Mus musculus: one gene and its partner. The protein of the gene in region 1 purifies or fractionates together with the protein of each later gene. This does not show direct contact. Links are inferred from orthologs where the notes say so. Each region holds a gene or a part of one and is shown on either strand. Other genes may lie near its edges.

What was found.
Region 2: the proteins of Sost (region 1) and Lrp5 purify together in Homo sapiens (affinity purification with mass spectrometry; 3 studies listed by BioGRID and IntAct, counting the BioPlex papers as one, with this or other methods). This does not show direct contact. The link is inferred for Mus musculus from reciprocal best matches to the Homo sapiens genes SOST and LRP5.

What each region holds. Positions count from the first base shown.
Region 1 is NC_000077.6:101,963,944-101,968,213, reverse strand, and holds the start of Sost (sclerostin precursor), read left to right. Parts: upstream 1-1,198; 5' UTR 1,199-1,240; coding exon 1,241-1,454; intron 1,455-3,612; exon of another isoform or gene 3,613-3,688; coding exon of another isoform or gene 3,689-3,737; intron 3,738-3,946; coding exon 3,947-4,270. UniProt on the Homo sapiens protein: Negative regulator of bone growth that acts through inhibition of Wnt signaling and bone formation.
Region 2 is NC_000085.6:3,683,600-3,688,139, forward strand, and holds the start of Lrp5 (low-density lipoprotein receptor-related protein 5 precursor), read right to left. Parts: upstream 2,966-4,540; 5' UTR 2,844-2,965; coding exon 2,756-2,843; intron 1-2,755. UniProt on the Homo sapiens protein: Acts as a coreceptor with members of the frizzled family of seven-transmembrane spanning receptors to transduce signal by Wnt proteins.

The DNA of each region.
Region 1 (4,270 bases):
GGGAGATGATATGGTAAGAGTGCTTGCTGTACAAGCATGAAGACATGAGTTCGAATCCCCAGCAACCATGTGGAAAAATAACCTTCTAACCTCAGAGTTGAGGGGAAAGGCAGGTGGATTCTGGGGGCTTACTGGCCAGCTAGCCAGCCTAACCTAAATGTCTCAGTCAGAGATCCTGTCTCAGGGAATAACTTGGGAGAATGACTGAGAAAGACACCTCCTCAGGTCTCCCATGCACCCACACAGACACACGGGGGGGGGGGTAATGTAATAAGCTAAGAAATAATGAGGGAAATGATTTTTTGCTAAGAAATGAAATTCTGTGTTGGCCGCAAGAAGCCTGGCCAGGGAAGGAACTGCCTTTGGCACACCAGCCTATAAGTCACCATGAGTTCCCTGGCTAAGAATCACATGTAATGGAGCCCAGGTCCCTCTTGCCTGGTGGTTGCCTCTCCCACTGGTTTTGAAGAGAAATTCAAGAGAGATCTCCTTGGTCAGAATTGTAGGTGCTGAGCAATGTGGAGCTGGGGTCAATGGGATTCCTTTAAAGGCATCCTTCCCAGGGCTGGGTCATACTTCAATAGTAGGGTGCTTGCACAGCAAGCGTGAGACCCTAGGTTAGAGTCCCCAGAATCTGCCCCCAACCCCCCAAAAAGGCATCCTTCTGCCTCTGGGTGGGTGGGGGGAGCAAACACCTTTAACTAAGACCATTAGCTGGCAGGGGTAACAAATGACCTTGGCTAGAGGAATTTGGTCAAGCTGGATTCCGCCTTCTGTAGAAGCCCCACTTGTTTCCTTTGTTAAGCTGGCCCACAGTTTGTTTTGAGAATGCCTGAGGGGCCCAGGGAGCCAGACAATTAAAAGCCAAGCTCATTTTGATATCTGAAAACCACAGCCTGACTGCCCTGCCCGTGGGAGGTACTGGGAGAGCTGGCTGTGTCCCTGCCTCACCAACGCCCCCCCCCCCAACACACACTCCTCGGGTCACCTGGGAGGTGCCAGCAGCAATTTGGAAGTTTACTGAGCTTGAGAAGTCTTGGGAGGGCTGACGCTAAGCACACCCCTTCTCCACCCCCCCCACCCCACCCCCGTGAGGAGGAGGGTGAGGAAACATGGGACCAGCCCTGCTCCAGCCCGTCCTTATTGGCTGGCATGAGGCAGAGGGGGCTTTAAAAAGGCAACCGTATCTAGGCTGGACACTGGAGCCTGTGCTACCGAGTGCCCTCCTCCACCTGGCAGCATGCAGCCCTCACTAGCCCCGTGCCTCATCTGCCTACTTGTGCACGCTGCCTTCTGTGCTGTGGAGGGCCAGGGGTGGCAAGCCTTCAGGAATGATGCCACAGAGGTCATCCCAGGGCTTGGAGAGTACCCCGAGCCTCCTCCTGAGAACAACCAGACCATGAACCGGGCGGAGAATGGAGGCAGACCTCCCCACCATCCCTATGACGCCAAAGGTACGGGATGAAGAAGCACATTAGTGGGGGGGGGGGTCCTGGGAGGTGACTGGGGTGGTTTTAGCATCTTCTTCAGAGGTTTGTGTGGGTGGCTAGCCTCTGCTACATCAGGGCAGGGACACATTTGCCTGGAAGAATACTAGCACAGCATTAGAACCTGGAGGGCAGCATTGGGGGGCTGGTAGAGAGCACCCAAGGCAGGGTGGAGGCTGAGGTCAGCCGAAGCTGGCATTAACACGGGCATGGGCTTGTATGATGGTCCAGAGAATCTCCTCCTAAGGATGAGGACACAGGTCAGATCTAGCTGCTGACCAGTGGGGAAGTGATATGGTGAGGCTGGATGCCAGATGCCATCCATGGCTGTACTATATCCCACATGACCACCACATGAGGTAAAGAAGGCCCCAGCTTGAAGATGGAGAAACCGAGAGGCTCCTGAGATAAAGTCACCTGGGAGTAAGAAGAGCTGAGACTGGAAGCTGGTTTGATCCAGATGCAAGGCAACCCTAGATTGGGTTTGGGTGGGAACCTGAAGCCAGGAGGAATCCCTTTAGTTCCCCCTTGCCCAGGGTCTGCTCAATGAGCCCAGAGGGTTAGCATTAAAAGAACAGGGTTTGTAGGTGGCATGTGACATGAGGGGCAGCTGAGTGAAATGTCCCCTGTATGAGCACAGGTGGCACCACTTGCCCTGAGCTTGCACCCTGACCCCAGCTTTGCCTCATTCCTGAGGACAGCAGAAACTGTGGAGGCAGAGCCAGCACAGAGAGATGCCTGGGGTGGGGGTGGGGGTATCACGCACGGAACTAGCAGCAATGAATGGGGTGGGGTGGCAGCTGGAGGGACACTCCAGAGAAATGACCTTGCTGGTCACCATTTGTGTGGGAGGAGAGCTCATTTTCCAGCTTGCCACCACATGCTGTCCCTCCTGTCTCCTAGCCAGTAAGGGATGTGGAGGAAAGGGCCACCCCAAAGGAGCATGCAATGCAGTCACGTTTTTGCAGAGGAAGTGCTTGACCTAAGGGCACTATTCTTGGAAAGCCCCAAAACTAGTCCTTCCCTGGGCAAACAGGCCTCCCCCACATACCACCTCTGCAGGGGTGAGTAAATTAAGCCAGCCACAGAAGGGTGGCAAGGCCTACACCTCCCCCCTGTTGTGCCCCCCCCCCCCCCGTGAAGGTGCATCCTGGCCTCTGCCCCTCTGGCTTTGGTACTGGGATTTTTTTTTTCCTTTTATGTCATATTGATCCTGACACCATGGAACTTTTGGAGGTAGACAGGACCCACACATGGATTAGTTAAAAGCCTCCCATCCATCTAAGCTCATGGTAGGAGATAGAGCATGTCCAAGAGAGGAGGGCAGGCATCAGACCTAGAAGATATGGCTGGGCATCCAACCCAATCTCCTTCCCCGGAGAACAGACTCTAAGTCAGATCCAGCCACCCTTGAGTAACCAGCTCAAGGTACACAGAACAAGAGAGTCTGGTATACAGCAGGTGCTAAACAAATGCTTGTGGTAGCAAAAGCTATAGGTTTTGGGTCAGAACTCCGACCCAAGTCGCGAGTGAAGAGCGAAAGGCCCTCTACTCGCCACCGCCCCGCCCCCACCTGGGGTCCTATAACAGATCACTTTCACCCTTGCGGGAGCCAGAGAGCCCTGGCATCCTAGGTAGCCCCCCCCGCCCCCCCCCCGCAAGCAGCCCAGCCCTGCCTTTGGGGCAAGTTCTTTTCTCAGCCTGGACCTGTGATAATGAGGGGGTTGGACGCGCCGCCTTTGGTCGCTTTCAAGTCTAATGAATTCTTATCCCTACCACCTGCCCTTCTACCCCGCTCCTCCACAGCAGCTGTCCTGATTTATTACCTTCAATTAACCTCCACTCCTTTCTCCATCTCCTGGGATACCGCCCCTGTCCCAGTGGCTGGTAAAGGAGCTTAGGAAGGACCAGAGCCAGGTGTGGCTAGAGGCTACCAGGCAGGGCTGGGGATGAGGAGCTAAACTGGAAGAGTGTTTGGTTAGTAGGCACAAAGCCTTGGGTGGGATCCCTAGTACCGGAGAAGTGGAGATGGGCGCTGAGAAGTTCAAGACCATCCATCCTTAACTACACAGCCAGTTTGAGGCCAGCCTGGGCTACATAAAAACCCAATCTCAAAAGCTGCCAATTCTGATTCTGTGCCACGTAGTGCCCGATGTAATAGTGGATGAAGTCGTTGAATCCTGGGGCAACCTATTTTACAGATGTGGGGAAAAGCAACTTTAAGTACCCTGCCCACAGATCACAAAGAAAGTAAGTGACAGAGCTCCAGTGTTTCATCCCTGGGTTCCAAGGACAGGGAGAGAGAAGCCAGGGTGGGATCTCACTGCTCCCCGGTGCCTCCTTCCTATAATCCATACAGATTCGAAAGCGCAGGGCAGGTTTGGAAAAAGAGAGAAGGGTGGAAGGAGCAGACCAGTCTGGCCTAGGCTGCAGCCCCTCACGCATCCCTCTCTCCGCAGATGTGTCCGAGTACAGCTGCCGCGAGCTGCACTACACCCGCTTCCTGACAGACGGCCCATGCCGCAGCGCCAAGCCGGTCACCGAGTTGGTGTGCTCCGGCCAGTGCGGCCCCGCGCGGCTGCTGCCCAACGCCATCGGGCGCGTGAAGTGGTGGCGCCCGAACGGACCGGATTTCCGCTGCATCCCGGATCGCTACCGCGCGCAGCGGGTGCAGCTGCTGTGCCCCGGGGGCGCGGCGCCGCGCTCGCGCAAGGTGCGTCTGGTGGCCTCGTGCAAGTGCAAGCGCCTCACCCGCTTCCACAACCAGTCGGAGCTCAAGGACT
Region 2 (4,540 bases), on another chromosome or scaffold:
AGACAGCTCAGCTGGGAAAGTGTGTGCTATCAAGCGGGACACACACCCAGTACTCAGGTAAAGAGCCAGTCACAGAGGTTTATCAATCAGTGAGACCCAAGTTCCAGTGAGAGACCTTGTCTCAAAGAACAAGGTAGATGGTTCTTGAGAAGCACTTCCCCGGGTTGACCTTTAATTTCCATATGCACATGACGACTCCTGAGGAAAACCACTGAAGGCTGACCTCTGACCTTTACATGCACAGGCATGCACACATATGAACATACAAAAAGGAAAAAAAAAAAACCCAAACCATGTAACAACAGCTCCAGAATTCCCAGGCCAGATCAAAGGCCATGACACACAACTGTCCTCAAAGCTCTGCCACCACTACCCCAGACCTGGGCTGCATGTACCAAATGCTTCCCACCGAACGATATAAGAGAAGAGAGGACTCAGCACAGAGAGGCTATGTAAGCCTCCCAAAGACAAACAGCAACTGGACATGAAAACCCTATAGAGCTGGGTGGTGGTAGCCCATGCCTTTAATCCATCACTCAGGAAGCACAGGCAGGTGGATCTTTGTGTTGGAGGCCAGCCTGGTCTACAAAGGGAGTTCCAAGACAACTAGAGCTACACAGAGAAACTATGCCTCAAAAACAAAACAAAACACCTTGGTCAGATGATCACCTCCTGCTCCAACCCTGGGGCACCCACTTGCAAAGCAGGTGACAGAGTCCTCACCTGGCTGTACCCCACCCCCACACCCCTGTGCAAATTCTGCTAGATGCCTGAGTAATGACACTGTGTAGTCAAAATAAAAAGGGTTCCAACTATGTTGGGGCCAGGAGGTGGCTTTCCCCAGAGAAGCTTAGGACAAACAGGTTGCCTGGGTAATTTCTTGCACAGAGGGGACTCTGCTCAGCATTTAACCCAATATAACCCAACATGTGCTGGCTGGGCCCTCCCAGGGGTAGACAGCCCACAACTGCAGGAACCTCCTCCAGGGGGCCAGACAGGCTAGGCTGGTCCAGGGACAAGTGAGTGCTTTAGGCGGTGAGAAGGAAAGCCTAGGGCTTCCAGAATGGGGAATTCAGGGACCACTAGAACAAAGGCTTTTCTGTGGGCTCACAGCTTCAATTTGCAACAGGAAGCAATCAGGAAAAATAATTAGCTGCCCACTCACTCCCTTCTCTCCAGACTCCCAAAGCAAGAATCTCAGACAGACATTTGGGGGTCGCACAGCCAAAAACACTCAAATAAGAGCTTCAGGAAGATTCTTCTCTTTGCTTCCATTTTAGGCCTGGACTACCCCATCAGCTGGTACTCCTGGGGCCTGGCTTCCTAATGTTAAAATAATCGACTCTATTTTTGCCGCACACACCACCAAACTATAAAGATGTTCAATTTGGGATACCAGATGACAGGCTAGGGGATCCCAGAGTAATGTCAATCCTACCTAGGACAGGAAAGTCGGCTTACAAACCCCACCTTTAAAACAAATAGCTGCCCCATACCCCTTCTGCAGTCACGACCCAGGCATTTCCGGGAAGAGTAGAACTGGCCTGGACTTCCCACAGCCTGTCACAGTTTTGTCTTCGCCTTGTTTTGCTAACACCAGAGATGGCCTGAAAATGTAAACATGATCCCGAGGGAGACAAATTTAGGGGGAGACTCCCCAAGAGCCCTCTGGCTGAGCTTGAGAGCTCCAAGACTGGATGAAGCCAGCTCCCCTCGACCCCTCCCCCCAAACATAGGTGGAAGAGACTGCAGCCCAGGGAATCTGAGCACAGAGCCAGGCCCAGCCACCTCCCTCAAGTGTCTACCCTGGAAATACACAGGGGGACAGCTGTTCGCCTTAATAAGGCCCAGACAAAGGGACCTGAGGTTGTCCCCTACCCCGCCCCAAACTGCCATCACCACCACCCGGGAGTTCAAGAGTATCTGCCGGACCCTTGGACAGCCACACTCCAGAAAAACAAAACACAAACACCCGAAAACAATGATTTAGGTGGCAAGAGCCTTGCTTTAAAAACCACATGGCAATCTCCGAATTAAAAGAACATGTGTAGCGTTTCCAACTGCTTCGTTTCTCGAGAGTCCTCCTGACCTCAGCTCCACCCCTCAGGACACACCAAAAAAAAGTTAGAAAGTTCCCGAGCGGGCCACTTCCCTAAAGGTGGGTCCAACTGAGGCAGAACCATACCTCCCCACACCAAGGCACCCACGCAACCGATCTCGGGGCTGGGCACTGGTCAGCGGGGCTGGGTGCCTGGCCACCGCTTGGGGGCCCGAGCGGTCAGATGGGTCACTGGGGTCACGGGGACACCTGGCAGGTGTCAGTCGGTTTGGAAGGCTGACAGCCCACGCAGGTCAAAGCGACAGCAGCCCAGGGCCAGGCCGCCCCGCGCAGGGCTCTCCGAACTTCCTAGCTAGCAACTTCTGGCACTTCCCAGGGCTCGGTAGGCCGGCCGCCGCAAGCAGGCTCGCGAAAAGTTTTCCCAGTAGTTCGCGATAGGCCAGGCCTGTCCCGGGCCATCGCGATGCCCGTGGGCGCACTCCTGAGCGCGCCCGGCGTCCCGAGCCTTGGGCAGGTGAGGGCCCGCCCGCGCCGCACCTGGCGGGCTCGGTCCCCAGGGAGGGGCCCCGGCGGGAGAGACAAAGGGCCCGCGCGAGGTCCCCCGGCGCGTGGTCCCCCGGAGCGCGCTCCAACTCGTCCGCAACTTGCAAAGTGGCTGCTTGCGGCCCCGGCCATTGTCCCCCGCGCCCACCTTACCCGCGGCGGGGACCAAGCTGCAGTACAGCACCAGCAGCAGCAGCGGCGGCGGCGGCGGCGGAGGGGCCCGGGTCGGCGCCGTTTCCATGTCGTCCGGCGGCCGGGAGCGCCGCGCGCTCACTCGGGCTCCATGGCGCGCGCGGCGGCGGTGGATCCTCGCGGCTCCCGGCGCCTCTTGCTCCCGCCTCGGGCGCCGCGGCCCAAGACGACGCGGGAGGAGGGAGCGGAAGCCGAGCCGGTCTCCGCCCCCCGCGCCGCCCGCGCCCCCCGCCAAGCCGCGCCCTCCTGCGGGCGCCCGGGAGCCGGGCAGGCGGGTCTCTCCGGGCCCGCGACAGGAGAGGCCGGGCAAGCAGGTGGGTCACCTGCCAAGTCTCTGTACTGACAGGTGAGGAAACTGAGGCACGTGGAAGCATGACCCACACAGTCAGGAGGCCTCAGGGCTGGAAGCCAAAGGTCTCCGAAGCCAGCTTTGGGCTCTTTCACCACAACTGTAGCCACCTGGCCCAGAGACATACCGCCCCACTTGGGATGCACGCGGGAACAGGCGCAAAAGCGGATACTGCTGGAGGAACTGGGGGCTTTTACTTTTAGATTTACTTTTTGTTGTATGTGTATGAGTGTTTGCACGCATGTATGTGCACCACATGCGGGAAGGAAACCAGAATAGGGTGTGGGGGTCCCCTGGGACTGGAGTTAGAGGTGTGAGCCACCAGGTGACTGCAGGGAACCAAACCCAGGTCTCTAAAAGAGCAGTAAGTGCTTCTAACTGCTGAGCCTTCTCTCTCCGGCAGTGCTTTCTAGAACCTCACACCTTGGGCAGGCAGGTGTAGGTGAAATCATTTCATGTCCTTAGAAAGTAAGCTAATGGCAGTGTCCACCTTGCAAGGTAGAGAGGAAGGACAGAAGCTGAGGTGGTCAGGAGGGTGCCTCTGCCCTCCTGTGGTTTATGCTAGGAAGAGACAAAAATAAGAGCCCAAACAAAGGAGTGAGTAGCCGGGAAAGTGACATGGCGCTCAAGTGTGTATGACTTTACTTATAAGTCTGACATGGTGTCCAGCCTCGGGAGATTGAGGCAGGAGGCTTGCCATGAGTTTGAGGCCAGCCTGGGCTACCTGCGAGACCCTGTTTAAAAAGAGTTGATAGAGCCCTTGGTTCCCTAGTGTGCACAGCTCTCCCAGCGCTGCATAAACCGGACCTGATAAACAGAAGGAGCAAAAGGCAGGTCAAGGCTGGCCAGCAAGATGGCTCCCGTTGACCTAAGTTCAACCCTAGGATCGCAGAAGAAAAGAGAACTGACTCCCCAAACTTGTCTTCTAATAGGAAAACATGAAGACCAGGGACCAGCTAGTAGGGGGAGGGGACCCACACCAGGGTTCCAAGGGTCAGGGCAGAGATTTCAATGCGGAAGCAGGCCAGTGGTTCAGGAAGAGCAGTCTCCTGGGGTGGCTGTATCCAGTCTCTGACCGGAAGAGGAGTCAGGAGGTCTCAGGGGCAGTCAGGGGACTGGGGACTAGAGCAGCTAGTGTCCTTGCTGGTTCCTTCTCACCCAAGCCCAACCCCCATCCCCCCTCCACCTTCAACACAGAGCCAAGAGCACAACCCCCTTCTCTAGCCCCACTCTCACCCATCCCCCAAGGCCTTCCTCTTTCAGCCTTGATTTTTCTGAGGCCTCCTCTCCCTGCAGCCAGGGAGCTTGTTAAATAAGCCAGACCTCACCACTCCTCCCACCGGTCAGAGAGGAAGCTGAAGCCTTGGGCTCACACGGCCTGGCCTAGCCACACCTCC